Linked DNA regions of Elephas maximus indicus. The protein of the gene in region 1 purifies or fractionates together with the protein of each later gene. This does not show direct contact. Links are inferred from orthologs where the notes say so. Each region holds a gene or a part of one and is shown on either strand. Other genes may lie near its edges. The genes, in order: RANBP6 and ARMCX3.

Region 1 (16,126 bases):
CCCGGCCGGGGCTCGCCCGCTTACCGGGAGAGCAGCGCCAGCTTCTGCTCCAGCATCATCTCCAGCTTCTGGCCCTGCCTGGAGACCCAGTGGTCCACGCCGTGCAGGCGGTAGCACGTCTCCAGCATCGACCTGAAGTCCGCCACGAACTCGGTGATGCCCGCGTACTGGCCGCGGGAGAACTTCTCCTCCATCTTCAGCAGACACATGCCCGGCCCGGGCGGCGGAGCAGCGCGGCCACCCCGGGCCCCGGCGCGCGGGCCCTCGGCCGCCTCCTCCTCCCCGCCGGCGACGCCCCCCACGGGCTGCAGGAAGGGAGCGGTGAGGCCGCGGTGCTTCTCCTGCAGGAATTCGCCCAGGATCCGGTAGCCCTGCTGCAGCTCGTAGGGCAGCTCCTGCCCCTTGCAGCCGCCGGCCGCGGCCGTCGTCGCCTCCTCAGCCCGGCCGGTCGCGTCCTCCTGCAAGGCTGCACTCCTCCCTCGGGCCGGCCTGGCGGCCCCCGCCTCCTCGTCATCCTCGTCCTCGGCCGCCGCCGGCGGCCGCTCCTCCTCCCCGGCCGGCTCCATCTCCGCCGGCGTCTCGGGCGCGCTCATGCCCGCGGCAGGCCCGGGCTGGGCGGTGTGGAGCAGCCGCTCGAGGCGCCGGGGACGCGTGAGTGCGGGCCGCCTTCTTACGACCCGGCCGCGCCGCGCCGCCCGGGCCGCATCGGCCTCGCTCTCCTCACAGCCGGCTGGGCGCGGAGCGCGCGGGGGTCTCTGCTCTCCGCCGCGGGGCGGGGTTACATGGCGCGCGGGGAGGGGGAGAGGAGAGCCGAGGCGCCCTCCTCCCCCCTCCCCCCGGCGGCGGCGGTGCGCGCGGCCCGGCCTCACCCTCGGCGCCCCGCCCGCTCCTCACCGGCCGGCCGGGCCCGGCGGCCTCGGCGCCCCACCCCCTCCCGGGCCGGCTGCGAGGCTGGGAGGGGGCGAGAGGAAGGGGGTGCTCTTCTCGCCTCCCCGGAGGGGCCGAACGCTGGGCCGCGGAGGCTCGGGCTCCTCCTCCTCTCCCTCACACCCCCTCCCGCCCCTCTCTACCTGCGGGGGACCCGGGCAGGAGGAGGCGCCGCGGACGGGCCCGGCGACAACTGTCAGTTAGACGCCCCGCTGGGCGGGGGGGAGGGGGGCGGGGGAGGGGGAGGGCACTCAGTCCCCCTGGCCGGGCGAGCACTGGAAAAAGGCAAAGAAAGAAGGGCCGTCGCCATCCCCGATGCGCATGCGTAGTGGAGCAGGTTTTCCCCGCCCCCTCGCGTCCAGTCCCGCTACGCTAAGGCGAGGACTTCGGCTCTGCTACAGGCCCGGGGGTCTGATAGACTGCGCGGACCAATGATGTCATCAACTTGTAGCGATTGTGAAGGGCGGGGCGGGGAGAAGCAAGGCGCCTGCGCGGCTTTACACACCGCCTCCCGGGAAGGGGGCATGGGCCTCTTTATAAAGTAAGTGCTGTCAGATAATTTCTCCTGGGAGGCCTTTATTAGCCCTAGAAACTAAAATTAACCCTAAAGGAGGTTGTTAGATGACCTTTGTTACTGACAGATGGGTAGTGAGAAAGCACAAAATCCTATCCATTCTAAAATTGACGTTCGCTTTGCACCACTCCTGCCCCTACCTCCGTTGTGACTGCGGGCCTTTTATATAAATCCAGAATTTTGAAACGTTTGGAGAGAAAGTTAAGGACTTGACCAACGGAAACATACGTTCACATGCAAAAGGCAAGGAGGTGATTTATAGAACTCAAGTGGTTATCTACAAAACTAGTTTCGGAAAATGCTGTCCCCAGTTCTTAACATGAATTCATATTTTGGAAACTAGTCTCATATTTTCCATTAAAGCAAAAAGTAACACTTCCACACTCTCCATTCTTGAGACATGTAAGAATACAGGAATCGAAGAATGCGACCTCACTTAAATAACATCCTTGGGACTCTAAACAGTCTCCAAGTATTTCCAGTCAGCTATACAGCATTAAGTAGTCATGTCAACGTGGCCTTAATCTAGTTTTAAATTACTGTTTAAATGACTAAAAAGGAGACTCATCATTCACATAAACGTACATTTTGCTTAAAGTGGAAAGGAAGAACTAATGGTTCCATAAAGGAGCTGTTAACTATTTTTTCCTGTTCTTTTGGAAGGAGGCACATAGAACTTTTTCTACTTGAACAGAGCCCTCTCACTTGAAACTTGGAATTATTTGAACAGAAAAACAAAATTATAGAAATCAAGCAAGTAAAAGTTATATTAAAGTGGTCACGGTATTCTAACTCCTGAGACTGTTTATTTCTCACTAATGAGACCCTTCAAGCGCTTACAAAATTCAAAACCTCAAAGCTTTCTTTGGGAAGTTAAATCCAGTATAGTGGATACATTTTGAGGGTATTGACATTCCCCCTCCATACCCCCCCCATTATCTAATAAAAAAAAACTCTAAATAAATAAATGCCTTATCAGATATTTATACTTTATTGGTCTTTTGCAGCTTTGTCTCTCTATTCAGAGCCCAAATATGTCTGAACTTCAGCAACTGGAGTCTGACTAAACCCACTGCCATCAAGTCTGTTTGGACTCATGGCAATGCTGTAGGACAGAGAACTCCCCCATAGGGTTTCCAAGGCTGTAACCTTTATGGAAGGCGACTGCCCCATCTTTATCTTTCTCCTGAAGAGCAGCTGGAGGGTTCCAACCACGGACCTTCCAATTTGCAGCTGAGTGCTTCCACCAGGGCACCTGTCAGCAGGGCTTCTAACCAGTTTGAACCCCTTCATTCCAGTTTGAACCCCTGCTGAGAATTTGCATTTCTAACAAGTTCCCAGAGGATGCTAATACTGCAATACTGCTGGTTAGGGACCAATTCTGAGAACCCCTAGTAGAGCAGTGGCTCTCAAAATTTATTATACATGAGTCACCTGGAGATCTTGTTAAACTGTAGATCTGATTCAGCATATCTGGGGGAAATGCACATTCTCAGCAGGAGTTTGAACCTGAATGAACCGGTTCAAAGCCCTGCCTGTCAGACGGAACGTCTCTAATTTCCTTTGATAAAGCCCCAGAATGTAAAACCCACCCTACCCAAGCAAATATCCTCTTCTCTTCTTGGCCACCAACTTTATTTCATGACTCCCAGAAATTACCCCAGGCCACCAAGCACTTTACATTCATCATTTCTCATAATCCTGTGGGTATTATCCCCATTTTACAGGTGGGGAAATTGATGCTTAAGAAAGTAGTTTACCAAACTTCAAATCTGGTTCTGTCATACCTCAGAAACTCCAGATGCCTAATTCAAAGTTGTCTGGCAGAATTCCCAATTCCTCACGCACAAGAGCGTAGGTAATCGCTAGGAATGTTGATCAAAAACAAACACCACCCCAAACCCACTGCTGTGGAGTCAATTCGGGCTTATATCACCCTAAGACAGAGTAGAACTGCCTTATGGGGTGTCCAAGGCTGTAAATTTTTACAGAAGCAGCCTGCCACATCGTACTCTCGAGGAGCGGCTGGTGAGTTTGAACTGCCGACCTTTTGGTTAGCAGCTGAGTGCTTTAACCACAGTGCCACCAGGGCTCCCTGTTGATTAAGAGCCTCTTAGTTAAGGGATATAAAAGCAAGAGTTGTGGGTAAGTAGAATGGTCCCCAATTCTAGTTCATGAAGAGGCCAAGGACAGGCCCTGTAACTTTTAGAAAACTTTATTATGCAAGAAATATGTTGATATAAATACATTAGAAAATATGAGTAAGTGAAAAGAAAAACTGCCATTTTATCCTACCACCCAGAGGTAACTTCTGTTGATACTTTGTAGTGGGATTTTTCCATTTACTCATCTATACTTTTTATCTTAAATGAACAACAAAATTGTGATCGCTCCATTAATAATTGTATGGAATGGACAGGGATTGCGTTATCTAAAATCTCAACTTCATATCCCTGTCTGAACTGGTAGTTGGTGAACTGAGATCGTAATGTAAAAGGAATTCTAAACACAACAAAGAACACAGCAGAGGTACAAACAACAGCAACAACAGCTACCATTTATTGAACACTTATTAGGTCTTAAATATTTGCTGAATACTTTACATACCCAGTACTCACAATAGCCTCAGGAAATCATGACAGATGTATTTGTTTATTAGTTGTGGGATCAATTATTTTTTGAGTAGACAGCTTTTCTCCTACCATACAAAAAGCTCGACATTAAAGACCAACATTCCAATTAATATAAATAATCCTAGATTTATAGAAATCTAGGAAAGGTTTTCTCCTAATGTATATCTACTGCTGAATGACTAGTCTCAAAGCTGTTTTCTTTTTCATGTTTAAAGCTAAAATTAACTTTTCCTTTTCACTTTCACAATAGAATATTCCAGTGCTACTACAGAATCTATAAGGAATAGTCGTCTATTTAAGCCCCATTCTAAATCAGGGCTTCTGTTCTTGTTGAGCTGCTTTCCAGGGTGGAAAATGGCATACATACACAAAATGATACACTGCTTAAACACGTAACACTAATTGACTCCTTCCATAAATACTGGTTACTTACTATTTGTCAAACACTGTTTCAGTATGCTATATGCTACCAATGTTAGATGTACCAGGATTCCCTTTTCAGTAGCCATGGTTCTTGGAATCCTGGAAAACTTAAGTAGAGAACAGCCTAGTTAAGGAGGTTTTAAAGTTCTTATAACTCTCAGCTGGACACCTGGGGAATTAGACTAGGGATACGTCCCACCCAGGTCCTAAGAGTACACTATGAACTCTCCACACTGCTGCAACATCTCAAAAATGTCTCCCAGTTTCAGCATCCTCCCATTACCATGACAGCCAGGCGTGTTACAAAGTAGGAATAAGCCTGCCATTAGTTCGTTCCCCTACAATTCCAAAGACGTTTGTTCTGAAAGTTCTCGTATTTTATGTTTGTGAGTTCTTACTACCATCTTGTGGTATTCAGCATGACATCTTGACACCAAGTATATTGCTTGCCCAGCATCAATACGTCAGACGAACAGCAAAAATGTATATACTTCATATCAACTAGGGGAAAAGTGACAAACATTCTAAGACAATGGAAGCACAGGTCATCACCAAGGGTCTGTGTTTAAGAGATAAAACATGCAAGGTGGACAGAAGGCTGTAACACTGACTAATCCTGGAGAAATGTGGCAAAGAGATATAAACTGCTGATATTTATTTGGAGTTACTTTTATGGTAAATGATATTCAAGTGATATTAAAGTGCTTCAAGCAAAATTTAGCAACGCCTGTAAGGCTGCCTGCTGTTCCTCATCAAGTTGGGATACGCATTCCAACCATAACTCGTCATCAGTCTGGACCTGGCGCACAACATTAGCTAGGCGTTTGGCACAAGGATCTTCACAGTTAATTGTCTCATTAATTTTTCCTTCAGCAATTATACTGATTATTTTGGGAAGATTGGAATTATTTGGACCAAGTACAACTGGGTGGTTATTTTCAATTAAGTCACAGAGAAAACTCAAAGTCTGAAGAGCTTCCTCTTTATCCTCATGCAGTGGAAGCCATGATAACCAGTGTGGAAGAACTTCATCCACATTCACACAGTTAGGCTTAAACCTCAAAATCTTCCCTATTGCTGAGATACAATTCTCTGTAGCAATGACACTTTTTTTGGTTTTAGAATTTGCACACTTAATAACTTTTACCAGCAGTGGAACAGCTTCTGAACATAAAGAACGATAATCATCTCCACCAAACTGTGCCATAACTCCCAGGCCATAGGCAGCAGCTTGCCTGACTTCAGGGTTATTGTCCCGCATGTTTAGTAGCATCGGCCACCGAAAATAGTCTACGTATTTAAACGAGGTCGGACTGCAGTGCTCTATGATATCATCAAATATGCATAGTCCCCACTGTCTGTCTGGCCATGGCCTACTTGAACAAATTAGATTTACAATTAACGGAAGTAGCTGCTCAAACCATGGTAAGATCTTTTCCTTGTAAGTACTAAATAATGAGTGCAAGATATCTGATACTTTGGTTAGAATATAAACATCGCATTCATCCTCGTCTTGCAGAGACATTTCAATCTGCTGGTCATAGTTTTCTTCCTGCCTTTTAACCTGTCGCAATTCTTGGTTTTTAAAGTGCCCTTCGAGCTTTGCTTTCAGTATTCCTCCCAGTTCTTCCAAGTGCTCATCATTGAGACACCCATCTCCCATTACTTCGATGGACTTTGCAAAAGAATTCATTATTTCTGAGAGTACATCTGCATCAGGTTCCGTCCCAATAGCCTTGATTAAGGGATCACATATGAATTGCCACATCAGTGCAAGATACTCCGGTCCATTAATTTTTGCACATTCTAGCAGAAAAGGCATGGACTCTGCTGCTGCCACTCGAACATTGTCGTGGAAATAAAACTTCAGTAAGGGAACCATCAGCTTCACAACTTGTTCCGTATATTCCACAAATCCTTCCCTTAACTCCTTAGCATAGTAAACCAACATCTGGCAAGCAGTCGCTTTTGCTTCAAGTCCTGAAGTTTTAATTCCAAAACTCTGCTGGTCTCCAAGATTTACAAACTGCCAGCCATCATCATCACTCATATTCTCCACATCCTGCGTGTCTAAGAGAGCGACATCAGGTTTAGCTGAAGCAGTCTTAATAAGAGGCTCAATAACCAGTGGAAGGTACTGTTGAAAATCTTTGCCAAGAATTTTACACATCCTAGCCCATGCTGAAACCATGTAAGAGATCTGAGGGTCATCATCTTCCATGTTATTTAAGTCTGATTGTGTCTTCAACAACAGCTGCATCACGTTTGATGCATCTTGCATAAATTTTTCCTTCCCAACAGCAAGGCCAACATGGCTGATGCATTCAATAGTTTTTCCTTTCAGAAGCTTGAGTTCCTTTTGAACAGCAAGCTCAACAATGTGCTTTAGAGAGGGCATAAATATATCATAGTACGGAACAAATTCTTCTTCTATTGTATCTGCAACTGAGGCAATGGTTGTCACAAGCTGTTCCAAGGCCAACTTTGTTCCATTCCGAATCAATTCTTGCAGTTTAATCACCAGGATGGAATGTAAGTTTTTCACCATGCTATCTAAATATAGAGCTAGCAATGATTTGGGGCAGTCTTCGATAAAAATAATAAGAGCAGAAGCTGCATGTGATTGCACGCGCTGATTACCTTGATTTTCCATGGTACGCAACAAAGCTGCAATCACTGTTTCATGGAATTTCTTTTGGAAACTAGGTGCAAAATCTGTAGCCATCTGTCCAAGTGTACTACAGGCTGCAGCCCTCACCCTCGGGTGAGGATCCTGAAGAAAATGCAAAACAGAGTTAACCATTTCATCTAGAGTTGATTCCATTTGCTGATGGCATCCTTCTCCAATGGCAGATAAGGCCATTAATCCAGCATGTCGATATTTCCAGTCAGGGCTCTGAAGCATCTGCATGATATGCTCCTTGGTCATTGGTAAAACCACTTTTCCACCGAGTCCACAAGCCAGTCTGTCTAGTGCACTCTCGGCAGCAACTGCATTGCTGTCAAAATCATCTTCTTCCATTTCATCAGCATTTACCCAGTCCTCGTCATCTTGTAGATCAACCATCATCGCTAATATGTGAGGGATAGCCTGTGCAATAATATTTGTATATTTCTTCAACATTGGGGTTGCCGTTTCAGACAAGGTCACTATTACTTCAAGAGCCAGCTGGCGTTGCAGATTACTAAGCCTAGAGTCGCTGCATAACTTTAAACTCAGCTGCAGAGTATCTTCTAAATAAGGGCCCAAGTACTTAGGAACAGTATCAGCAATCTCAACAAGGGATTCCAGGACGGAATCATCATCCTGGTAGCAGGAGTCATTCACAGCCTGTAAGATTCCTGGCAGCAAGTCTGCAAAGTCTTTGAAAAGAGCGACATTATTCTCATTAGCAAGGACAAATGCAGCTGCAGCTCTAGCGGATAATGTCCTGATAGCTGGATGCTCCTGATCTTGAATACACTGGTCCAACAACCGTTTGATGATATCCAAATCGTGCCGCTCTTGGTTCCCAAAAATCCCAGGAAAGTGCCAGAAAACGTGAATTGCAACTTCCCATAGAACCACATTTTTAGAGTAGATGGAATCAATCAGGAATTTCAAACCTTCGGGCCAGTGGTTAGTGCCATCCTCATCTATCAAATTCCTGGCCAGCACCGCAAAAATATCGCAAAGTTTTTTCCTCATGCTGGCATGTGTTTCTAACTTCACAGCCAGTATTAGTTCAATCTTGACGTCCCTCTGAACATCAGGAGGTAGGTTTGGATAGACTTCCTCAAACCCAGAGGACAAAAGCCGTCGTAGCAGTGCGGCAGCCATTTGTCTCACCTCATAACCTGCTCTTCTATTTCTGACGGCATCTATGAGGAACGTAGTCTTACACAGACCCGGGATATTTTCATAGATCTCCTCGGCCTGCCTCCGCACCATACAGCTTGGATTGATGAGGTTCTTCAGAAGCTGGTAAAACTCTTGCTTTTCCGACACGGCAGCGGAGAAACCCGCAAGCCCGGTAGCCGCCATCGCGCTCTGTCAAAACTAACGCGACGGGGGCAGAGGGAGGGGGTCTGCGGCTCCGAGCACTGACGTAAGCGACGCGCCGGCGTGGGCGGGGGGGAGCGCTTCTTCCTCCGCTTGCCGGGGTACCCAGGCTGGGAGCTGGCAGGGAGGGCGGGGAGGTAGAGTGGGACACTGCGAGAGAGGAAGAGCTTGGGGGGTGTCCTCCATTTGTTTTCCAATCAGATACAGATAATGTACTTGCATACGAAGAAAAAATATATATGTATTGATTGTATCCGAGTGGGATTATGAGTGATTCCCCCCTCCTTTTTTTTTTTTTTTTTGTAGTGGTTCGGCTGCTAACCAAAAGGTCAGCAGGTTGAATCCACCAGGCGCTCCTTGGAAACCCTATGGGACAGTTCTGCTCTGTCCTGTGGGGTCACTATGAGTGGGATTCGACTCGCCGCAACTGGTTTTTTTTTTTTTTTTTTTTTTTTTTGGTTTTCTCTAGTTCTAATCTGTATTGTTGTTACCTGATAATTTAAAACAATAAGTACACCTTGTAAACATGGTTAAGTGCAAGAAGCCAGTCACAAAAGACAACATATTGTATAATTCCATTTACAGGAAAGGTCCTGAATAGGCAAATATAAAGAGACAGAAGGTCTATGAGTGGTTTCCTGGGAGTGGAGGAATTGGAGGGAGACGGGGATTGAGAGCCAATAGGCCGAGGTTTTTTTCAGTTTGTCCTAAAATTGGTTGTGGTGATGGTTGCACAACTCTGCGAATAGACTAAAAGCCACTGACTGTACAATTTAAATTGGTGAGTTGAACAGTATGAATTATACCTCAGTAAAGCTGTTTAAAAAAAACATTAAGTCCAATAAAAGAATAAGTACGATGATTTGTGCTCCCCCGCCCACTTCTAATTCAGTAGAGCAGCAGTCCTCAAATTGTGGTGTGTATAAGAACCACCTGGTGGATTAAAAAAAAGAATTAGTAAGACAACTATGGTAAAAAGTAACCTGGGCTAGTAATCAGAAGACCTGAGCCTAGTCTTATCTCTAAATTAATTCTGTAGCCTTGGTTATGTCACTCAAAGTTTTTCTTGTATGCTCGCTAAATTGTAAAATGAAAGGACTCAGCTGTTAGAATCTCTAAGTACCCTTTCAAGGTATTAGACGAGGTACTGCATTGGGCAAATCTGCTGCAAAATCCCTCTGTGAGGTGTTAAAAAGCAAAGATGTCACTTTGAGGACTAAAATGTGCCTGGTCCAAGTCATGACATTTTCAATCACCACCTATGCATGTGAAAGCTGGACAATGAATAAGGAAGACAAAAGAAAAATTGATGTCTTTGAATAATTGTGTTGGTGAAGAATATTGAACATACCATGGACTGCCAGAAGAACGAACAAATCTGTCTTGGAAGAAGTACAGCCAGAACGCTCCTTCGAAGTGAGGATGGGGAGACGCATCTCACATACTTCAAACATGTTATCAGGAGGGACCAGTCGTGCTTGGTACATGGACGTCATGCTTGGTAGAGGGTCAGCAAAAAAGATGAGACCCTCAACGAGATGGATTGACACAGTGGCTGCAACAGTGGGCTCAAATACAGCGGTTGTGAGGGTAGCACAGGACCGGGCAGTGCTTCGTTCTGTTGTACATAGGGTTCCTATTGGTCAGAACCAACACGATGGCATCTAATAACAACAAGTCCCTATTGAGGTTATTCCAAGAAACAAGTGCCCCTGAAGAACTATTGTTTTCTTTAATTCAGGCAAGTGTGCTAATCAGAAACAATTTTCATTCCTCTAAGAAGGTTCTAACTTTTGTAGGAGCACTTGGCCACTCTCATTTTGACCCTTATATAGGTGTGTGAGGAAACCCTGGTGGTGTAGTGCTTAAGAGCTATGGCTGCTAACCAAAAGTTTGGCAGTTCAAATGCACCAGGCACTCCTTGGAAACTCCGTGGGGCAGTTCTACTCTGTCCTATAGGGTCGCTTTGAGTCGGGATCGACTCGACGGCAACGGGTTTGGTTTTTGGTATAGGTTTGTGAGGTTGGTAGGATAGGTAAAATAATCCTAATTTTAGGTGAGAAATCAAAACTCAGACTAGTTAAGGGATTTGTCTAAAAGACACAGCTGAGTCTCAGCCGCACAGCTCCTGAAAGCAATACCAATGTTCTTTTCACCATACCATTGTTGTTATCATGTGCCATTGAGTAGATTCTGACTCATAGTGACCCTATAAGAGAGTAGAACTGCCCCATAGCGTCTCCATGGCTATAATCGTTATGGAAGCAGGCTGCCACATCTTTCTCCTGCAGAGTGGCTTGTGGGTTCAAACCGCTGACCTTTCAGTTAGCAGCCGAGAACTTAACCACTTCGCCACCAGCCCTGGTGGCACATCAATTAAGCGCTCTGCTACTAATAGAAAGGTCGGTGGTTCAAACCCACCCAGTGGCTCCGTGGGAGAAAGTATGTAACAATGCTGCTATGAAGATTACAGCCTAGAAAACCCTATGGGGGCAATTCCACTCTGTCACATGGGGTCACTATGAGTTGAATATCAGCTTGAAGGCAACTTGAAAAATCAACTTAACAACAGCAACAGAATTTCCTTCCGTGAACCATCGTCTGTTTGGCCATACCACTTCCCTATAATTACCTTTCTGGTTTTGCAATATGACCAGAGGCCTTCATTTATTGCAAAGTCTGTCTTAAACTTCTCCAGGCAGGCTTCATTTTGTAAGATGCTGCTGCATATACCCTCCAATACAGAAAATCACAGCTTTAGCACTAACCAGATGATACACGAAGTAGGAGTGGGCAGTGGTAGTTCAGTGGTAGAATTCTTGACTTCCATGCTGGAGACTCAGGTTCAATCCTCGGCCAAGGCACTACATGCCCAGCCGCCATTCATCTGTCAGTGGAGGCTTGCATATTGCTATGATGCTAAGCTTCTAGGCTAAGACAGAGTAGGCCTGGCAATCTGTTTCTGAAAAATCAGCCAGCGAAAACCCTGTGGATCACAGTGGGTAGTCTCATAAATTACACTGTAATATGTAATAATATGCTCACTTAGGAAGAATCCTATTCTCCATCAACAGTGTTTCTCATTCTGTGGGCTGAAAACCAACTGCATCAGAATCGCTTGGTATGCTTATATCATAATACAGATGTTCAGGTCCGAGCTCCAAATCACTGAATCAGAATTTCTGGAAAATGCAAGCCATGAATTTTCCATTTTAATAAGCATACTGGGTTTTCATATAAATACCAAATTTTGAGAACCACTAATAAGATCAGTTCTGATTCTGACTCCAAGATCTTGACTGCAGTTCTTCACTTTGCTCCAGACTCACTGGTATTCTTATTGTTCCTTGAAAAAGTCTAACTGCAGGGCCTTTGCCTTTGCTGTTTTGGGAAATCTTAATAAGCGTATGGGAGAAAGGCTTCTCCTGACACTATACTGTTAGTATATTGAGGACTTATTGTCAATGACAATGAGATACCACCACACAACCACCACAATGATTTCCACAGAAAAGACTGTCATTACTAAGTATTCGTGAGGATATGAAGCAACAGGGAACTTAGTTGTATTTTTTGGTAGTAGTATAAGTAAATTGGTACAACCACTTTGGAAAAACTTTTGGAAAATGCTGGGTTAAGATTATACAAGTAGTCATTTATTCTCTTAGCAAACATTTATTGAGGGTATACTCAAGCATGCTGCTGGGTGCTGGGATTAAAGACTAAATACAAAAGGATGCTCCCGGTCTAATGAGAGAGAGTTACTGTCACACAGTGTAGTGATCACTGTGGTAATGGTTAAGTCTGCCACAGGACCACAAAGGATTGGGTCTGGGGGACATCAGGGTAGGCTTCCTGGAGGAAGTGATATCAGAGCTCACTTTTGAAGGATGAATCCTCATTAACAATTTGAAGAAAGAGAAGAAGGTTGTTCTCAGCAGAGGAAGCAGCCTGTTGAAATGTGGAGAGGCCTTCTGAGCCTAGTGTGATGAATGTTCTTCTGATATTTCAGGATGGCTGGAGCAATTCATATCGAACTTGGGGTGGGGCAGGGGGAGGGAGAGGGCTTGGGATGACACAGGTGGCAGGAAGGACAATGGCAGAAAGTTAAACAGACGCCAGATGACGAAGGGTCTTATATTCCATGTTGAGAAATTCGGACTTTTTTTTCCCCAAAGGTAATGAGGAGCTATTTAAGGACTTTAATCAAGCTTGCAAAATGATCTAATTTGTATTTTTGAAAGTTTGCTTTGATAGTAATGTGAAAACTGAAGTGTGAAGGCTGGAGACATTTAGGAGGCCAGTAACCTAGTTTAGTTAAGAGTTGGAAGTGTGAATCATGGCAGTGGTGAAGGGAAAGAGACGGGGGCAGAGCTTGGAGGAGAAGTTTTTTTTTTTTTCCACTTTTTTTTTTAATTAACTTTTATTGATCTTCAAGTGAACGTTTACAAATCAAGTCAGTCTGTCACATATAAGTTTATATTCATCTTACTCCTTACTCCCACTTGCTCTCCCCCTAATGAGTCAGCCCTTCCAGTCTCTCCTTTCGTGACAATTTTGCCAGCCTCCAACTCTCTCTATCCACCCATCCCCCCTCCAGACAGGAGATGCCAACACGGTCTCAAGTGTCCACCTGATATAATTGGCTCACTCTTCTTCAGCATCTCTCTCCTACCCACTGTCCAGTCCCTTTCATGTCTGATGAGTTGTCTTCGGGAATGGTTCCTGTTCTGTGCCAACAGAAGGTTTGGGGACCATGCCCGCCGGGATTCCTCTAGTCACAGTCAGACCATTAAGTATGGTCTTTTTATGAGAATTTGGGGTCGCATCCCACTGATCTCCTGCTCCCTCAGGGGTTCTCTATTGTGCTCCCTGTGAGGGCAGTCATCGATTGTGGCCGGGCACCAACTAGTTCTTCTGGTCTCAGGATAATGTAGGTCTCTGGTTCATGTGGCCCTTTCTGTCTCTTGGGCTCTTAGTTGTCGTGTGACCTTGGTGTTCTTCTTTCTCCTTTGCTCCAGGTGGGTTGAGACTAATTGATGCATCTTAGATGGCCGCTTGTTAGCATTTAAGACCCCAGACGCCACATTTCAAAGTGGGATGCAGAATGTTTTCATAACAGAATTATTTTGCCAATTGACTTAGAAGTCCCCTTAGAGCATGGTTCCCAAACCCCCGCCCTTGCTCGGCTGACCTTTGAAGCATTCATTTTATCCCGGAAACTTCTTTGCTTTTGGTCCAGTCCAATTGGGCTGACCTTCCATGTATTGAGTGTTGTCCTTCCCTTCACCTAAAGCAGTTCTTATCTACTAATTAATCAGTAAAAAACCCTCTCTCTCCCTCCCTCCCTCCCACCTCGTAACCACAAAAGTATGTGTTCTTCTCAGTTTATACTATTTCTCGAGATCTTGTAATAGTGGTCTTATACAATATTTGTCCTTTTGCCTCTGACTGATTTTGCTCAGCATAATGCCTTCCAGGTTTGGAGGAGAAGTTTTAAGAGGTAGAATCGATAGCATTTGGGGTGAGGGGAGGAAAAGCCTAAGAAATCTCCCCAAGTTGTGGCATGGGCTTCTAGATGGAAGCGCTTCGATTTACCTGTTTATTTACCTTTATATGAATATTAAAGAACAGTGTCGATGCAGAGGAAGAATAGGTTTGTTCCAGCCCCTGTATTTGCTTTCTAATTGCCGCCACACACTAGAATGGTGGTCATCATTTCACCAGTAGGAGCTCCACGGAATCCAAATTAGGGAAATGATTTATGGTCTTTTACTTTAGAAAAAGCAGATACTGATTTAACATCTTAAGGTGCTTCCTCTCTAGATTACATAATTCTGTTCTATTTACTTTTTGCATTGTTATTCCGTCCCCCCACCCCTTTATTTGCCTAAAAAGCCCACATAACACCCAGAACTTCAAGACTGTACTTGCAGACTGGGGTAGTGTTGAACAACTTTGTTACATTTGGTAATTAAAATGGTCTTTGCTTAGCACCACTGAGAGGCCAGCTTGAGAATGGTTCCACAATGTGGCAGAGTAGAATTCAGATAATTCAGGTGCTTATTAACAGATTACTAAGTGGGAAAAGTTCAAAATAAATTACAAATTTCTTCCAAGATCAAAGAGATTTAGTCAACTGAGGAGAATAGAATTAAATTGGACATACCTGACATTTTCACAAGAATAAAAATACAGAAAGAAAAAAATTACCACATAGGCTCCCACCAGCTTAAAATGGGACAATCTGAAAGTAAATAAATAAATAATACCTGCAATGGATTAAAACCACCAAATATATAAACGGAAGCCATGAGTTTCCATTGATATTTTTAAGAAGCCGCTAACTCATTCAGCATTAGTGGAGATTGCTAGGTGAGCAGCTCCAAGAATTGATAAAGGGAAAATAATCAAGATGTTTCTACCTTTCCTCTAAAACTCTACAAGCTGTTATTTCAGGATCACCAAATAATTGATGAGGCAAGGTCTTCTGTATAAGTTCCAGCTATTAAATGCATAAAGAAGGCTAGAATCAGAACACTACTGTACTGTAGCCCCAAGTGAAGTAACGAATCTAGGCAACGATGACCAATGGATGCTAAGGCCATTAGGTGAAACATTGACTATGGGAATTTAATAACAGGTGGATTAGGCTGGAACCACCTGAATTTACTGATTAATCTTAACAGTATTAAAAAGTGGAATAAACCAGACATGTTTACCTGTCATCTCTCAGCTCCACATCCACACTTTCTATAAGTCGTTCTGTGATGCTTAGGTTGTTGTGTGCCATCCACCCTCAGGACAGAGTAGAACTGCCCCCAAAGGGTTTCCAAGGCTATAGGGTCACTATGAGTTGGACTTCACGGCAGTGGGTTTGTTTGTTTTGGTTTCAGTCTTTATGAAAGCAGACTGCCACATCGCTCCTCCATCGAGCGGTTGGTGGGTTTGAACCGACAACCTTTCGGTTAGCAGCCGAGCCCTTAAGCACTGTGCCAGCAGGGCTCTTATACTGAGGTTAGGGTGTGGAAACCATATTTCTCCTTTCATAGCTGAGTCCATGTTAGGTTCTATCAATAGGATAGGTTGGAGGACAGAAAAAGGACTTGATTCTTCCTGTCTTTCCCAGATTGGCCCAGCAGCTGTCCTTCCTCCTGGCGGATGCAGCTCCTGCTTTTGCAGCGCTCTATAAGCAGCCACATCCCATCTCTACAGAGGTCCCAGCAGTAACCTGGGGGCAGCCCTCCCCTGAGGTTTCACCGGCAGCTTTGGGAGACTCCTCCTCTGAGCTCACGGGTACCTGTTCTATCCTGTTTCCCCAGTTTTAGGGGTGGCAACAGCTCCTGCAGTTATCATCAGATCACCTCGGAGTTCTTCACTCTTTCACATCTGTGTAATCAATCCCCTAAATTAAATCTCTTGAAGTATGCAATGGGGTTTTCCCAACTGGACCTTGACTCGTATACCAACCATTGAGTGATGCATTAGGAACTACACAGCACCACCTATGAAGTATTCTTTTTATTT
Region 2 (16,128 bases), on another chromosome or scaffold:
ATTGCCACCTGGGGCCCCAGGTTTGGTCCAATCCCCATCATCAGTCCACGGCCGAGCCATAGTTGTGAAATCAAAGTGCATCTCAGACTCTTCCTCACCCAGTTCCTCATCGCCATCCCATTCTTCCTCTTCTTCCTCCTCCAACTTGTCACTGTCCTCTCTTCCCACGGTCAGTTTGTAAACGCAGTAGCAGGCACCAGCCCCAATCATTAGTCCTGCTGCCATCCAACCCACTTCCCGAGCTCGACTCATACTCAAGTCTATGGCAGCCTTGGGGCAGGATAGAACACCTTGCTCAGCCTGATTGAAGGGGTCTTTTAGGGCCCAAATGAGTGGTGGTGGAGGGTGGTAGTCTTCAGCCTTTCTTAGGCTCCTTCAAGTCTCTTGTGATGAATCTATGCATGAAAAAGAGCGTTAGGGTTTTGGGCTAGGGTTTGTGCCTCACCAGGCAGGCAGACAGTTGGTGAGAAAGGTGAATTATTAGCTAACTATTTCTTTCTTCCTTTCTGTCACCCCCTATCTATCCCCAGGGCCCATCATTTCTCTTCTAGGCCTCACGGAGAAGGTGGAGAGATGGGGTCCTGCTAAGATGACCAGAAGGGTGCCAGGGAGAGGCAAACCCTCAGCTAGTCAGTTTCACCTACCAAACTCTACCGATAAAAATCTCTACCTGAGTCAGGTAAATTCCTTTTTCCCTTGTTCTGTTGGCAGTGCTCCCTACACAGTGATGGGTGGGCAGTTCGGCAGAAGGACAGATGGAAAGACTGAAAGGTGGAAGTGGAAAACTGAAAGTGTAGTGCATGTATCAGCACTGAGGACATCGGTCCCAAGACTCGCTTTTCTGAATTCTTGACCCTGAGTTTAAAATCTTTCCCACACTCTTCCGACTTTTCCCAGCCCGACTTTTCCCAACGCGAGCTTTCCCGGCCCCCCTCGTCGTCCGCCATTTCCCCTGCAAAGGCCGCCACACCCCTTTCCTTGCACTGAAATGGGAGGGGGTGTGGAGAAAGAAGGGGCCGGGAGAGGGCGACTCGGACCTGGCCCGCACAGATTCCAGACCCGCTGCCACCACCGCCACCCCCACCCAGGGTCCCGGACTAATCCCTCCTTCACACCGACCTGTATGGTTCCAGCGCAGTTTGCTCTTTCCCTCTCCGCGACTGGAGCTGCGACCTACAGGCCAACAGATCTACAAATCTGCAGAGAGACAGGAGACAGAGGGGACGGACGGTTTGGCTGCTTGGTGGACGGACCAGCACCAGGGACACGGGTGCCCTGTTTGTGGAATCTTTCTTTCCTCCGAGTCTCCAGAACCGCCGTCCGCTTCCCCCACCCCCATTCGAAGCCCGCCAGCTTTCTCTACTAACAGGGGCAGAGGACAAGAGGGGGGAGGGGTATTAAGAAAGTAGGCTAGGAGGGGACAACAGCCCGATGGGTCCGATGAGCCTGACCCCGTGGCGCTCTTGGCCCTCTCCCACCCCTCCTCCCTCAAAGCAGCGCCCACCCTCACACAGACCTGCATGGTACAGAGTTTCCTTCTTCCTTCAACCCGCCCGCAGAGTAATAGGGGGCTGGTACCCAGACGGAGGCGACTAGCAGGACTTCTGCTCTAAGCAGCCCTTGGTCACGTGAGGACCACGTCACCAGTGAGCTCTGCCCCCCAATTTCCACTCCCACAAGCAGTGCGGCAGGCGCCAGTCCGCCCCGTACCTCCCCCCACTACCCTGGGCCCTGTCACTCTTTTTCTCTTTAACAATACCAGAGACCAGAAGTGGCCCTGCCTCCCTGGAGTTTGAATTTGCTTTTTTGTAATTACAGCAAAGGAGCCCGGGTGGCGCAATGGTTAAGCGCTTGGCTGCTAAGCGAAAGGTTGACAATTGGAGCTCACCTAGCGTCTCCGCGGGAGAAAGATCAGGCGATCTACTCCCCTAAAGATTACAGCCTAGGAAACCCAATGAGGCAGTTCTGCTCTGTCACATGGGGTCACTATGAGTCTGAATCAGTGGATGGCACCCAACAACAATTACGGGAAGGGGCAGCATCTTTTCCTGGGGCTACCATTCGCTTACACACATCTTGGGGGAATTGTCTCATCCTTTTCTAGGCTCTGAAACTTCTGCACCCCCTCTCCTTGATTTCTCCCTCTTCCATCCAGTCCCTGCACCAAATGGGGAGGGGGGTTGTCAGAAAAGGAACTCCAAATAGTAGTGAGATTTTTATTAATATTTTTGATACGTTTATGTTCTATTTCTTCTGCCCTTTTTGTATTGGCTTAAGCAACACTTTTGTGTAATCAGAAAATACAACAAAGCTATTTTCACTTGGAGAAAAAAGAATAAAATATTTTTTAATGAAAGATATATAAAATAAGTAAGCATTCCCAGTTCATTGGAAGACCTCATTGACTTGGTTAAGCTAATTTGTATCGCATTGAAAACATCTTCTTCTGGCTTCATAGGCAATAGCAGCTTTTACACAGTAAGTGTGTTAAAATGATAATAATTATATAAGCCTTACAAACAAAACCAGTGTGCTTTCAATCTGAGAAGGTCAGTGGTCTAATTGTGGCCATTTTAGATAAGTAAACCACTGTTCCTTTTCCTCCTGTCTCAATTCATGGTATTAGATGTCAGTCAGCTGAGATGGTCTTCATAGACAGTTGCTAGATGGCTTTCACTCTGGCTGCAGACCTCCAGCTCCAGCTGAATCTTGCTGTTGTTACTTGCGGTTGAGTCAATTCCGGCTCATGGCAACCCCATGTGTGCAGAGTAGAACTGCTCATAGGGTTTTCAAGACTGTGGCCTTTTCGGAAGCAGATTTCCAGGCCTGTGCTGAGGTTCCTCGGATGGGTTTCAGCCGCCAACCTTTTGGCTTGTAGTGGACCACATTGAAAACCTTATGGAGCAGTTCTGTTAACTCCATGGCAACTAACAACAAGTCTTAACAGAAGCATATCGACAGAGCTTTTCTTCTGCTGTACCACCGAGTGGGTTCAAACTGCCACCCTTTAGGTTAGCAGCCCAGTTTGCACCACCTAGAAACCTTCAGGTGAATGCTGAACCTTACAATTAGTCACTTCATATATTAGCCTGCTTTCCATTAAAAGGGCTTTATTTAAAATCTGTTCAGCAGTGGGATGTAGACGTCAAATTCTCATAAAAAGATCAGACTTAATAATGATCTGAGACTAGAAGGACCCTGGAGGTCATGGTCCCCAGACCTTCTGTTAGCCCAAGACAGGAACCATTCCTGAAGCCAACTCTACAGACAGGGATTGGACTGGACTGTAAGGTAGAATATGATACTGGTGAGGAGTGAGCTTCTTGGATCAAGTAGACACATGAGACTATGTGGGCGGCTCCTGTCTGGAGGCGAGATGAGAAGGCAGAGGGGGATAGGAGCTGGCTGAATGGATGCGGCGAATACAGGGTGGAGAGGAGGAGTGTGCTGTCTCATTAGGGGGAGAGCAACTAGGAGTACATAGCCAGGTGTGTATAAGTTTTTGTATGAGAGACTGACATGATTTGTAAACTTTCACCTAAAGCACAATAAAAAAAATTTAAATGGAAAAAAAAATCTGTTGAGAAGTTTCATGGTGCAACTCATAAATCATCCAGAAATTTGAGAATTCCCTGATTTCTCACTAATGGAAATTAGGCTTAGCTGGTGGAATTTTCCTTCTATCATGGCACTGGTGAGAGAGATATCTCCAGTGTCCATCACTCATGTAACTATAGCAGTGGCTAGGTCCCTGGGTATTGCAAACAGTTTGCGCCCAATTACTAACTGAATCGGTGGTGGTTTGAATCCACCCAGCGGTGCTGTGCCAACTTCAGGAAGATTACAGCCATTGAAAATACTATGGAGCGCAGTTCTACTCTGAAACATGTGGGGTCGCCATGAGTCAGAATTGACTCCCTAGCAACATTTTTTTCCTTTTTTAGTGCTCAGCACTTTCCAGTGGAGATGGTGGTGAGGGCCTGTGGATGACTGCAAATCACTGCAACACCCCTTGGATGTCCGGGTCATTTTTCCCTCATGTAGAAGGACAGGATCCCAAGCAGTCGCCAGGAGAAAGAGACCCTTTCATTCCCTGTTTTCTGTTCCAGTTTCACTGTACCACCCACTTAAGCCCCTCAGAATAACCCCAGAACTCAGGGACAACATATGCAGAATTTAGTCCCCAGACATCCACCTGTCCCTGCCCAGAGTCATACTCTAAATATAGACCCTCCAGGCAGCCTCTTTCTTAGAACGCTGAAATATGACACCCTAGCAGGAAGCTCCCCCTTTTAGGGGCCCCAGTGTAAGGAAGGCCCTTCCCTGAGGCTAGCCAGGGAGCCTACAGAGTTTTGCTGGTGAATTTTCAGAAGAACATGTCCCCACTTTCTGGTCTTTCTCAAATTTTTCTAATTCACACTCACCAATCTTATATTCCACCTCTCCTAGACTACTACCACATTTGTTTCCCCAGCATTCCCTTGGAATGTTCTTTTTTTAGTGTACATTAGATGAAGGTTTATAGAACAAACTAGTTTCTCATTAAACAGTTAGTACACATATTGTTTTATGACATTGGCTAACAACCCCACGACATGTCAACACTCTCCCTTCTCAACCCTGGGTTCCGTATTACCAGTTTTCCTGTACCCTCCTGCCTTCTATTCCTTGCCCCTGGGCTGGTGTGCCCCTTTAGTCCTGTTTTGTTTTACCGGCCTGTCTAATCTTTGGCTGAAGGGTGAACCTCAGGAGTGACCTCATTACTGAGCTAAAACGGTGTCCAGGGACCATACTCTCAGAGTTTCTCCAGTGTCTGTCAGGCCAGCAAGTCTGGTCTTTCTTTTTGAATTTAGACTGTTCTTTTTATCACCCTTTGTTCGCTTCTCCTAGACAAATAAATTCCATTTATGACGCCTTCCAAACAGGCATTTCAGATTTAATTGGTCATCATTCGGTTTTTGGTTCCTAGGTACTTATATAAGTGGGTCTTATTGGTTTTGAATATATACACTAGAAAGGACTAAAAAGTATGTAACGCTTAGCAAAGACAGGTGTCTTGTCATAGACATGGTTCTATAATAAGGACTCATTTTCACAACCCTCCGTCAGGCTTCAAGGACAAACACTTCACTTTTACCTCTCCTCGCTAGTAATAAAATATCCCCCTTTGTACATTCTCCAGTTATTTCAGTGTATGACTCCCACTCCTCAGACCCCCATTCTCCCACAGTCTGTCAGAAAATTTACAGGTTTGAATCTCTATCTAAAAACCCCACAGGCGTGACAACCTTTTCATTTCTCTCACTTTGTCATTCTGACCCATAATTCCTACCAAGGAACCTGGGAACTAGTACTTAAAAATGACTTTGCTCTCCATTATAGATCTACTAACATTTATTTCGGGGCATGTTTATGCCTGCCATACTCTTTCAAAAGCAAAAAGGGAAAAATCCTTAAGCAATATTTCAAACACGCCTGTTAAAAGTTCCTGAGCCTGCAAAAGAGTATGCGAAGCCACAGCCAAAAGGAATGTTTTGGCTTAAATCAGTATGTGGTCAAATGTGGTATGCTGTATAGTGCCTGAAAACAAAAAAGGGGTCTGCAGATGGTAACACTGATGGAATTGGAGAGGGTGAGGAAAATACATTATAGAGGATTGTTATCTTGAAAAATGATATTACTTTCTGCATTGGGATATTGATTATTAGTTAAGCTTCTTTGGTTGCAAGCAATATAACCCAAACCTGGTTAACTTAAACAATGAGAGAATGTTGACAACCAGGGTCAGCTCTCAGGGGTCTGGGTAGCAGGAATTGATAGATGGTTTTGTCAGGATACCATAATTCCAATGATTTTCAGCTTTTTATCTCTCTGCTCAAGATTCAAATTTTAGCAAGAGAGCATTTGGTTGGCCTGTTTTGGTCACATGTCCAGCCTTTTGGTGGGAAAATGAAAAGGTATATCAAATGTAAAATGAACTTCTTTTCCCAGAGAGAAATATGAACTATTTCAAACGTTGTTTATTTGTAGGAGCCCTAAAAAAATTTTTTTTTTTTCTGGCATAGTGGTTAAGTGCTACAGCTGCTAACCAAAAGGTTGGCAGTTTGAATTTACCAGGTGCTCCTTGGAAACCCTATGCGGCAGTTCCACTCTATCCTATCGGGTCATTATGAATTACGAGTTGGAATCGACTTGACAGCAATTTTTTTTTTTTTACCTGCTTTGGATAGTAAACCTTTGTCTAGCTGTGATTGAAGCACTGGGGGCCTATCGACAGCCCAAAAACCCAGTGCCGTTGAGTCGATTCCGACTCACAGCAACCCTATAGGACAGAGTAGAACTGCCCCATCGAGTTTCCAAGGAGCACCTGGCAGATTGGAACTGCCGACCCTTTGGTTAGCAGCCGTAGCACTTAACCACTACGCCACCAGGGTTTCCCTATGGACCACAGCATATCTTAATTGTAGTGTAACCTAACATTAGGGGGGTACAGTTCAGAAATAGTGATACACACGGTTGTCCTTTGACCCAAGGCCACCTAGCTTCCCTGACAGGATACCACAAGGTTGTATCTCCAGTTCAGTCTTGTCCTCAGTGTTAAGTGATCAACCTCTGACTCTGTACAATAAGAGCAAATGCCTCTGTCAAGGGAAGTCTCCCATTCACAGAAACTTCCATAAATTTAGATTTGCATGCTCAAACCCATGGATCTCTGCATTCTGTCTCTGTAAGTAGGCCATGAGGGAAGCTAAGTCTTAACAGAGTACTAGCTGAATAATTTACCCTGAGAAATACAACTGTGAGGGGGTACTGGAGGTTTTTGTCAGTCAGCCTGTTCTCTCCATGTAGGCAAGCTACTATTTGGGAAGTCACATCTTCAGAAGGTTGCTTGGTGAGCCTGCGATCAGAGAAAGGACAGTCGGTTCACCTTAAGAAGTAGCTTTCAGCTAAGGGAGCTTGAAGCACTTACACATCATGGGGATGGCTCTGGCAAGGAAAGCTAAATGTTCCATTTATCTTAGCCAAGGCTTCTCCCCAGACAGTGCTTGGGTTGGAAACTACCAACATTTCACTCTGACTTTCCTTTTCATATATTTCTATGCTTAAATAATTCCCTTCACATGATATATCTGTAAACACAGAGCCATATAGTTGATGTGGTTTCTGTTTACTAAATTTCAATCATATCCTAGTACTGCCTTCCAGAAGTTACTCGATATGAATTTTCTTGGAGCTTTACCTGTTCCCAAACTCTGCAGACTCTTGATTTACTCTCATATTGTCTGTAGATTTTTAAAAGTTATACACAGGCCCTGTTCTGACATTATTACTTCTCCCATTTAAAAAAAAAAAGTTAAATAATTGATGATAGATGTATCATTGAGATCATCAAACCAGTCAGTGGAAGAGTTTCACTCTATTGCTAGATGCAGAGTTCAGCCAATTTTGTCTTGGTCTCAGTGTTCCTCAATATCTATTTCATTTCAAGGTGATATTTTCTACTTCTACCCAAGACTATCTTGTAATGGTCTTTGCAGGTCACTCACTTTGTCAGTGTGCGTGCTTCTTTATCTTATAGATACCCACCAAGAAGTTGTGATTTCTACTCCACCTTTTCTGTGCTTCTGGCTTCTGAGGGCTCAATGCCTCTTCCTTGATAACAGATGGGGGCAAAAGTCTGTAGCTTTCCCATGTAAAAGACCAGCCTAGCCAGAAGATTTACAAATTCTCAGACGCAATGATTAGTTAGCTTGTTCAGGGTTGTGTTATGTGCCAGGGCCCAGAAAACATTAAGATTGTTTTAAGTGAAGTGGGTAACGCTGCCCGTAAAGGGAGAAAATGTGGAACTTTTGGAGGCCATCACCTAACGTCAATCTCCCACTCCTCCTTTTTTCCCACTCAAATGAAAATAGCTTTATTGTATTTTTTTTTTTCTCATAGAAAGAATGCAGACTGGAGGTGGGAGCAGGGGCAGACAAAAAGAACAAAAAAGTATTAAGAAAGTAAAAACCACACTCTCACTCCTAGGCCTCCTTTTCCGATGGCTTGTGCATTTCAGATCTAGGACTAGATTTCAGAGGAAATGGTAGACATTAATAGCTGGAAGGAGAGGAGGTGGAGGGAGAGTCTGCTGTCCCAGGAGCCCAGGAAGGAGGAGGTAAAATTTCAAAAAAAAAGTACAAGTAGCCAGTAGCCCCAGGGGAGGATGCTGTCCCTTTCTGGTAGTCAAAGGAAGGCGAATACAACCACAGGGAGATGGGATTAGCGAGGAGGAAAGAAGTGACAAGGCCGAGTACAGGGGAAGGAAAGGAGGGGGGCGGGCCCTCTTCTGCCGCACTGCTGGTGGGAGGGGAAATTGGGGACCCGAGTTGGTGGATGACGTAGCTCTCACGTGACCAAGAGCTGACGTGTGCAGAAGTCCTTCTTGTCCTGGTCGTTGTTCCCGTCTGAGTACCAGCTCCCCATTGCCCTGAGGGCGGGCGGGCCTGCTGCAGGGGGAAGAAGGAGGAGGAGAAGGCAATTGTCCCGGATTCTTGCAGGTCAGTGCCTAGGAGATTCCATAAGGTGGGGTTAGCCCAAGGCGTAGGGCGGAGACCGTCGCGGGTCCTGGGGCGCCTTGGTCCGTCTCTCCCCCTCGCCTCCCGCTGTCCGAGACGTATGTCCCGCTCGCAGGCCGTTTAGATGCTTCGAAACGGTGAGCAGGGGCATATTTGGGGTGGAGCCCAGAGATCTGGAGGTGGGAATCTGCTGGGAGCAGAGGCTTGCAATCCGGAAAGGGAGCTGCAGCCTGGGTGTTGGCTCCCAGTTTACCAGGACAGTGCCGGCGGGTAAAGCTGGGTATGGGGAGGTGGTGGGGTGCAACGCGGTGTGTTAGCGGAGCCCCGAGAGAGGTAATAAGGGTGGGAACCCTTTGACAATCGGGCCTCCGAATTTGAAAAGAGTTTCGTGTTCTGGGGACTGGTCCGTCCAGCAAGCACTCAGTAGCGGCTGTTTCCCGTCTTTCTGTCTGTGTCTGTGGCTTCCTGACCGTGGCTCTGTGTCTAGTGGGTCCGATCCTCTCTCGGGTGGCCAGTCTTTACGTAGGTTTCGGCACAACGCTGGGCAAGAGAAGAGGAAGGAAATCAACCTCGATCGGTGAAGGTCGATTTGAGGGTAAGGTCATCTGCGGACCCCAGGAGGGGCGGGCGTGGGGGTGGGGAGAAACCAGAGATGGTAATCTAGGTTCAGCTCTGAGTCTGAGTATTTTTCTCACTCCCGGGACTGTGGGGAAATGGCGTGCGTTGGGGAAGAGGGGAGAGGGTGGCAGGAGGGAAACCTATCAGATAGTTTGTTCATAATCCTCCTCTCTCATCCAGCAGTTAGTCCCCATGTTTTCGATCTGTCATCCAGCAGGTCTGCTGTAGCAGGTGGCACCGCTTGAAGCGAGGGAGGAAGTTTCCCCCCCATCAGCAGTCGAGGTTGGTGTGGAGGTAGGGGCTGTCTGGGGGGGGGGCCGGAGATCAGCTGAAGTTTGGACCAGCTCATCCGCTGCTGCCTTATTTTCCTTCCATCCCTCCCATTTCAGGCTAAGGGAGAGGGGCAGGCATGAGCATGTTTTGAATGGAGTAGAGGGGTAGAGAGGTTAAAGAAAATGACAATCGGATTGTGAATCGGGAAACTGACAGGGGAACAGGGTACTAGTCTGTGCATGGAGCCCTCAGTCCTCACTGGCTCTGGTCTCTCTGCAGATCCCAAGGGTTGCTGGGCGTGGCACACCTCCAGGGGAGGGAAGAAGGAGCAAACTGCCCTGTCTTGTGGAGGTTAGTGAAAGGGTGCTATTCCCTGGGAATGGCTGAGGGGCGAGGGGTGGGGCTGAGCCCTAGCAGAGTCCCTGGGCTCCATTGCTTTTATCTAGGTCCGGGTGGGAGTGAGCTGGGAGGGGGGCGGTGCTGGGAGAGGGTGAAATGAAGGGCGTAGAGAGAGTTTAACAATCCACCTTTGACACCAAGCACTCAGTTACTACTCTCCTGTCCCTTGGTGCAACTCTCCTCTTGGGAGGACACAAAGAGAAGCGAAAGTCAAATTCCGTTTCATTCCTCCACTCTTAGGTCCACCTGCAGTATCAGCTGTTGTGGCCTTGAAGTGGCTGAAGACTACTACCCTCCACAGGCCTAAATCCAGGCCCACAGCCATCCTCCCCCGGCCTGAGTGACTACTCTGTTCCTTGGTCCCTGCTATTGTCAGGGACGATTGCATGGGCTACGCTAGGAAAGTAGGCTGGGTGACAGCGGGACTGGTGATCGGGGCTGGTGCCTGCTATTGCATTTATAGACTGACCAGAGGAAGAAAACAGAACAAAGAGAAAATGGCTGAGGGCGGGTCTGGGGATATGGATGATACTGGCGACTGTTCTGGGGGCAGGTACAACGACTGGTCTGATGATGATGACGACAACAATGAGAACAAGGGCGTTGTATGGTACCCGCCTTGGGCCCGGATTGGGACTGAGGCCGGGACCAGAGCTAGGGCCAGGGCCAGGGCCAGGGCCACCCGGGCACGTCGGGCCGTCCAGAAACGGGCTTCCCCCAATTCAGATGATACTATTTTGTCCCCTCTAGAGCTGCAAAAAGTTCTTTGCTTGGTTGAGATGTCTGAAAAGCCTTATATTCTTGAAGCAGCTTTAATTGCTCTGGGTAACAATGCTGCTTATGCATTTAATAGAGACATTATTCGGGATCTGGGTGGTCTCCCAATCGTTGCAAAGATTCTCAATACCCGCGATCCCATAGTTAAGGAAAAAGCTTTAATTGTTCTGAATAACTTGAGCGTGAATGCTGAAAATCAGCGCAGGCTTAAGATATACATGAATCAAGTGTGTGACGACACAGTCACGTCTCGCTTGAACTCATCTGTGCAGCTGGCTGGACTAAGACTGCTTACAAATATGACTGTTACCAATGAGCATCAGCACATGCTTGCTAATTCCATTTCAGACTTTTTTCGTTTATTTTCAGCAGGAAATGAAGAAACCAAGCTTCAGGTTTTGAAACTCCTTTTGAATCTGGCTGAAAATCCAGCCATGACTAGAGAACTGCTCAGGGCCCAAGTACCGTCTTCACTGGGTTCCCTCTTTAATAAGAAGGAGAACAAAGATATTATTCTTAAACTTTTGATCATATTTGAGAATATAAGTGACAATTTTAAATGGGAAGAAAATGAACCTACTCAGAACCACTTCGGCGAAGGTTCACTTTTTTTCTTTTTTAAAGAATTTCAAGTATGTGCTGATAAGGTTTTGGGAATAGAAAGTCACCATGATTTTTTGGTGAAAGTAAAAATTGGAAAATTCATGGCCAAACTGGCTGAGCATATGTTTCCAAAGAGCCAGGAATAACGTCTTAATTTTGCAGTCTAGAAGCAATGTGTATTATAAGCTAGTCCTTTTCTCCACCTTGTTTATTTGGTAAAGGAATCCTTTCAGCTGCCAATTTTGAATAATGAATATCATATTGTATCATCAATGCTGATATTTTCCAAGTTGGCCTTCAGGTTTCAGCTGGATGAATGAATATTATACTTGTTCTGAAAACATGTTTGTTGCTTTTTATCTTGCTGCCTAGATGGAAATGTTTTTTCTATTTTCTCAGCATAAGTGACAGTGAACCAATTCATCGTAAGTGAGCTCCTTTCTGTCATTTGCATTGACTTCATTCGTGTCTCATCAATAGAATTGTGGAAAGAAAAGGGGAAGGAAAAAAAGGGAAAGAACGACAGAAACCATCTTTGTCTTTTGGTTTATAATCTAGTTGAAGAGATAAGAAACGTACAGACAGAAAGATAACAGAATAGCTTGAGCGTATGCTTGTTGTCAAATGTGCACTCTCAGAGTACAGAGGAGACAGAGGTTTCTGTGGGTAAGGATAGTCAGCTAAAGCTTCTTGGAGGAGATAGGAGTGAGGGAGGATGGGGTGAGAAAAGCATAGAGGTAGGAACCCTGTTTCGGTGAGGAAACCAATCTGTTTACAGTGGAGAGTGTGGGAAGTGGGAGTAGGGCATACATTTGGAGGGCTGGATGAGGCTAGTTTGTGGAAAGCTGTTTGAATATTATCTCATTGAACACTGAGAGCCTCTAAATATTTTCAACTAGATAGAATATTTGGGACCCATATAAAAATCTTTCTCTCCTACTGTGCAGTGTTGGAAAGAGCGTGGCAAAATGGACACTTTCAAACCCTGGCAATGGGAATGAGTTTACGCTGGCACCAGGTTTGCGGAGGGCCATTTGGTAATATATAGCATAAGCTTCAAACATGTAAACTCTTTGACTCACAGGAATTTGTCCTAAGTAAATAACTGGATAATTGGCCAAACAGTATATGTACAAGGCTGTTCATCCTAGTGCTATCTAAAGTAGTAAAAATTGGGAACAACCTAAGTGTCTAGTACACTGGGTGGGTTAAATAAATTATGGCATGTTCACACAGTGGAATGCAATAAATATGTTGATGAAAATTTACATTGCCAGGAAAAGATATTCACCATGCATTGTTGAGTGAGAAAGGTAGAGTTAGATAGCAGTAATCATAGTATGATTGCACTTTTTTTTTAATAGTAAAGCATATGTTTAAATAGACATTACAAACTCTGGAAATATAGATACCCAAACAGTCTTATCTCTGGGTGGGAAATGAGTGATTTTTACCTTTTTACTTTTTATTCATCTATGTGTTCTCATTTACCTATAATGAGCATTGATTTTTAGGAAATTTTTGAAAAAGAAAAGTATTGGGAATGAAGCAGGTGATCGACTGGAGTATGTACTGAGTGGAAAAAACATTTGGATTAAAAATTCAGTGCTTCCTCTCTGAAATCGAAGCTTCCTCTCTGAAATGACAGATAAGTGGAGAAGATGGGCCTTGTCATGAGGATTAAATGAAGTAATACATGCAAAGTACTTACAATGTTCTGGCACATAGCAGTTAATCGAGAAAAGTGAGCACCCTTAATTCCTTAGAATGCAGGGTTGATAGTTTTTTGGTTGACCTTTGTTTTGCTGGGGTATTCTGCCATGTGTCAGTGTCATTTAATTAAAAAAAAAACAATAAAAGTTAACATTTATTAAGTGACTATTTGTAGAGTTCTGTCATTCCTGCAAAGCAACCTTCCAAATAGTTTCTCAAAGGAATAAAGTTTTTGTTCTTTTTTAAGAGACCAAGTGTTTCCTCAGACATGATCTCACCAACCTCCACAACATAGTCCTACTTGGTTTGGAAGGCCAGATGATGGTATCCTATTTTATTGTATGAGGCCAGGAAAGAGTAAAATCTTCTGGCTAGTTCAATACTAGTTTTAACTCCAGGTCTCTAGATACTCTAATGTCTGTAGTAGACAAAAGGATCAGAGACTGGTTGGTTTACAGTTATTGGGTATGGTGACCCTACTGAACCATGTACAAGTGGGGACTCATTTGACACGAGTTGTAAGGGGCGGGGATGAGGGGAAGGGAATTAAAATTTTCCTTGCTCCTATTGTTAGGTGGAAGAAACAGATTTGGGAGGGAACGAGGATGAATCCAGCTTAAAATGGGGAATAGAGTTTGAAAGGTACCTAGTTAGCCCAGATGGTTTGCACTTGGCTGGTAACCAAAAGATTGGTTCGAATCCACCCAGTGGCACCATGGAAGAAACAGGCCTGGCGATCTGCTTCTGTAAGTTACAGCCAAGAATGCCCTGTGGAGCAGTTCTGCTGTGTAACACAGGGGTCTCTTAAGTCACAAATTAACCACAACAACAACAACAAAAAAAAACGAAAAACCAACAATAAAATAATGTTTGAGGTACCTGTTGGGACATTGAGATAGGAACACACTGTTGTCATTTGAATGCATTAATCAGAGTTCAGAGGAGAAGTGCGGGCTGCAGATAGGATTTGGGATTGAGGACACAGGAGTGGATGTGGTCCTTCAGAGAGAAGATGCAGAGTGAAGGGCCGAGGGCTGCAAATAGAATTCTGTAAGGGACTGTGACAGCTGTGGAGAGCAGGACAGAATTGAAACTGAGTGTATACCCTTCCAGACATTTTTACTACACATATATCTATATATTCTTCACATGAGGTTGGATCATGCTGCAGATACATTTTCAGAATCTGATTTAATTTTTTCCTCACAAAAATAATAAATAATAATAAATATTTACTAGAGATAGTTGAGAAAATAGAGGCAATGACTGCAAACTTGTCCCCTGACCCAGATATGCAACTTGAGCATCTGAGAAATATTCATTTCAAGGCATGTTGATCTTGAGGTGCTGAGTGACTCTTGCAGCTGGGGTGAACATGACATTAACTTCCCAGTAATAAGAAGCCAAGGGGCCCTGGTGGCGCAATGGTTACGTGCTTGACTGCTAACAGGAAGGTCAGCGGTTTGAACACACGAGTGGGAGAAAAGACCTGGCAATGTGCTCCCATAAAGGTTACAGCCAGAAAGCCCTATGGAGCAGTTCTAGTCTGACCTATAGGGTCGCTGTGAGCCGGAATTGACTCTACAGCACACAACAATGATAATAAAAAGCCACAGCGAGGCAGGGGCACAAGCCTTCAGGAGAAAGATGTGGCAGTCTGCCTCTAAAGATTTACAGCCTTGGAAGCCCTATGGAGCTGCCCTATAGGGTTGCTATGAGTCAGAATCTACGCAACGGCAGTGGATTTGGTTTGGTTGTCCCTTCTCATTTTTCTTTCTTCCTCCCTCATACTTTTTTATTTCCTCCCGGAGAGATAATTGGTGATAGTTTTTAGGGGTTGATGTGCTTCTGTGTCTTTCGAGATGACCCTTTAATTCTCATGAAACTATCGCACACACCAAAAACAAACCTGTTGCCGTTGGGTTGATTCCAACTTATAGCAACCTTATAGGACAAGAGTAGAATAGTCCCATAAGGTTTTCAAGGCTGTAATCTTTACAGAAGCAGATTGACACAGCTTTCTCCTATGGAGTGACTGGTGGGTTCAAACTGCCAACCTTTCTGTTAGCAGAACCGCTGCTTAACCACTGTGCAACCAGGCCTCCTTTCTCATGCACCATTGGGCATTTAATACGGAATAGTAATTGTCGTTGTTATAGTCATAAGGTGACTCTGGTTGCAACTGAATACCAAGATTTTTTGGAACCCTTGTTGAACAGAGACTGGGAAAGAATGAACTAGCCTTAGACTGACACAGCCCTCCGTGCACTGCATGCAGTTTTGATGTCCCCCACCTGGCTTTTCTGGACTTTGAGAGAAGTGCTGTGTGAGACAGTTGCGTAACTGCCTGATCCAGGCCGGTCACAGGGTCGGGCTACACACCAATGTCCTAATGTTTTCACTTTGGACATTATCACTCTCACACTTTTGGGGGATTGTCGTGGTGAACTTGTTCATGAGGACAGGGAGGAGGCAGGATCCTCTCTTTAGACACGATGGCTGCTCCTGAGCAGCTAAGGAAATTGGAAAACTCAGAGAAAAGCCTGCTGTTTTGTTCTCATTTAACTGTTTTAGGAATAGGGGAGGGTCCTATCTCAGTTCAAATTTTGCTCAAAGTGATTTTACAAGGATGGGATTCAGCTCTCTTATCAAAACATAATGCCCAAAACATAATATTTTACCAGGGCTCCATTTCAGTGGCAGATAATATAAATTTTGAAATGCACAATGAATATGATTAATGACCTATGGAAATAATACAAGAGACTGGAGAATTTTGGAGAACTGAAAATTCCTAGGAAGGTCTTGTGGGAGCAGGACTAGGATTTGAGTGAGATTTGATCGAAATCAGTTTCATGGTTCTGTGTTTATTCACTGCTGCGTCAGTGCTTTGCTTCATATATTGTTCTTTAGACATACCGAGAGATGTCTGGAAACCCTGGTGGCATAGTGGTTAAGTGCTACTGCTGCTAACCAAAAGGTCGGCGGTTCGAATCCACCAGGTGCTCCTTGGAAACTCTACGGGGCAGTTCTACTCTGTCCTATAGGGTCCCTATGAGTCGGAATCGACTCGACGGCAGTGGGTTTGGTTTTTTGGTTTAGAGATGTCTACCTGAGAGATAGATTAAAGATTTTCAGAAAGTCTTTTTACACTTCTACCCATAATTCATTTTGTTTTTTTTTTTTT

The links.
Region 2: the proteins of RANBP6 (region 1) and ARMCX3 purify together in Homo sapiens (co-immunoprecipitation; 3 studies listed by BioGRID and IntAct, counting the BioPlex papers as one, with this or other methods). This does not show direct contact. The link is inferred for Elephas maximus indicus from reciprocal best matches to the Homo sapiens genes RANBP6 and ARMCX3.

What each region holds. Positions count from the first base shown.
Region 1 is NC_064827.1:15,962,391-15,978,516, forward strand, and holds RANBP6 (ran-binding protein 6), read right to left. Parts: upstream 8,585-16,126; 5' UTR 8,582-8,584; coding exon 5,264-8,581; 3' UTR 3,717-5,263; downstream 1-3,716. Other genes in the region: uncharacterized protein KIAA2026 homolog, read right to left, coding at 25-593. UniProt on the Homo sapiens protein: May function in nuclear protein import as nuclear transport receptor.
Region 2 is NC_064846.1:56,576,661-56,592,788, reverse strand, and holds ARMCX3 (armadillo repeat-containing X-linked protein 3), read left to right. Parts: upstream 1-8,402; 5' UTR 8,403-8,540; intron 8,541-8,546; exon of another isoform or gene 8,547-8,695; intron 8,696-9,045; exon of another isoform or gene 9,046-9,073; 5' UTR 9,074-9,153; intron 9,154-9,390; 5' UTR 9,391-9,458; intron 9,459-9,728; 5' UTR 9,729-9,800; intron 9,801-10,088; 5' UTR 10,089-10,234; coding exon 10,235-11,374; 3' UTR 11,375-13,131; downstream 13,132-16,128. Other genes in the region: protein ARMCX6, read right to left, coding at 1-252. UniProt on the Homo sapiens protein: Regulates mitochondrial aggregation and transport in axons in living neurons. May link mitochondria to the TRAK2-kinesin motor complex via its interaction with Miro and TRAK2.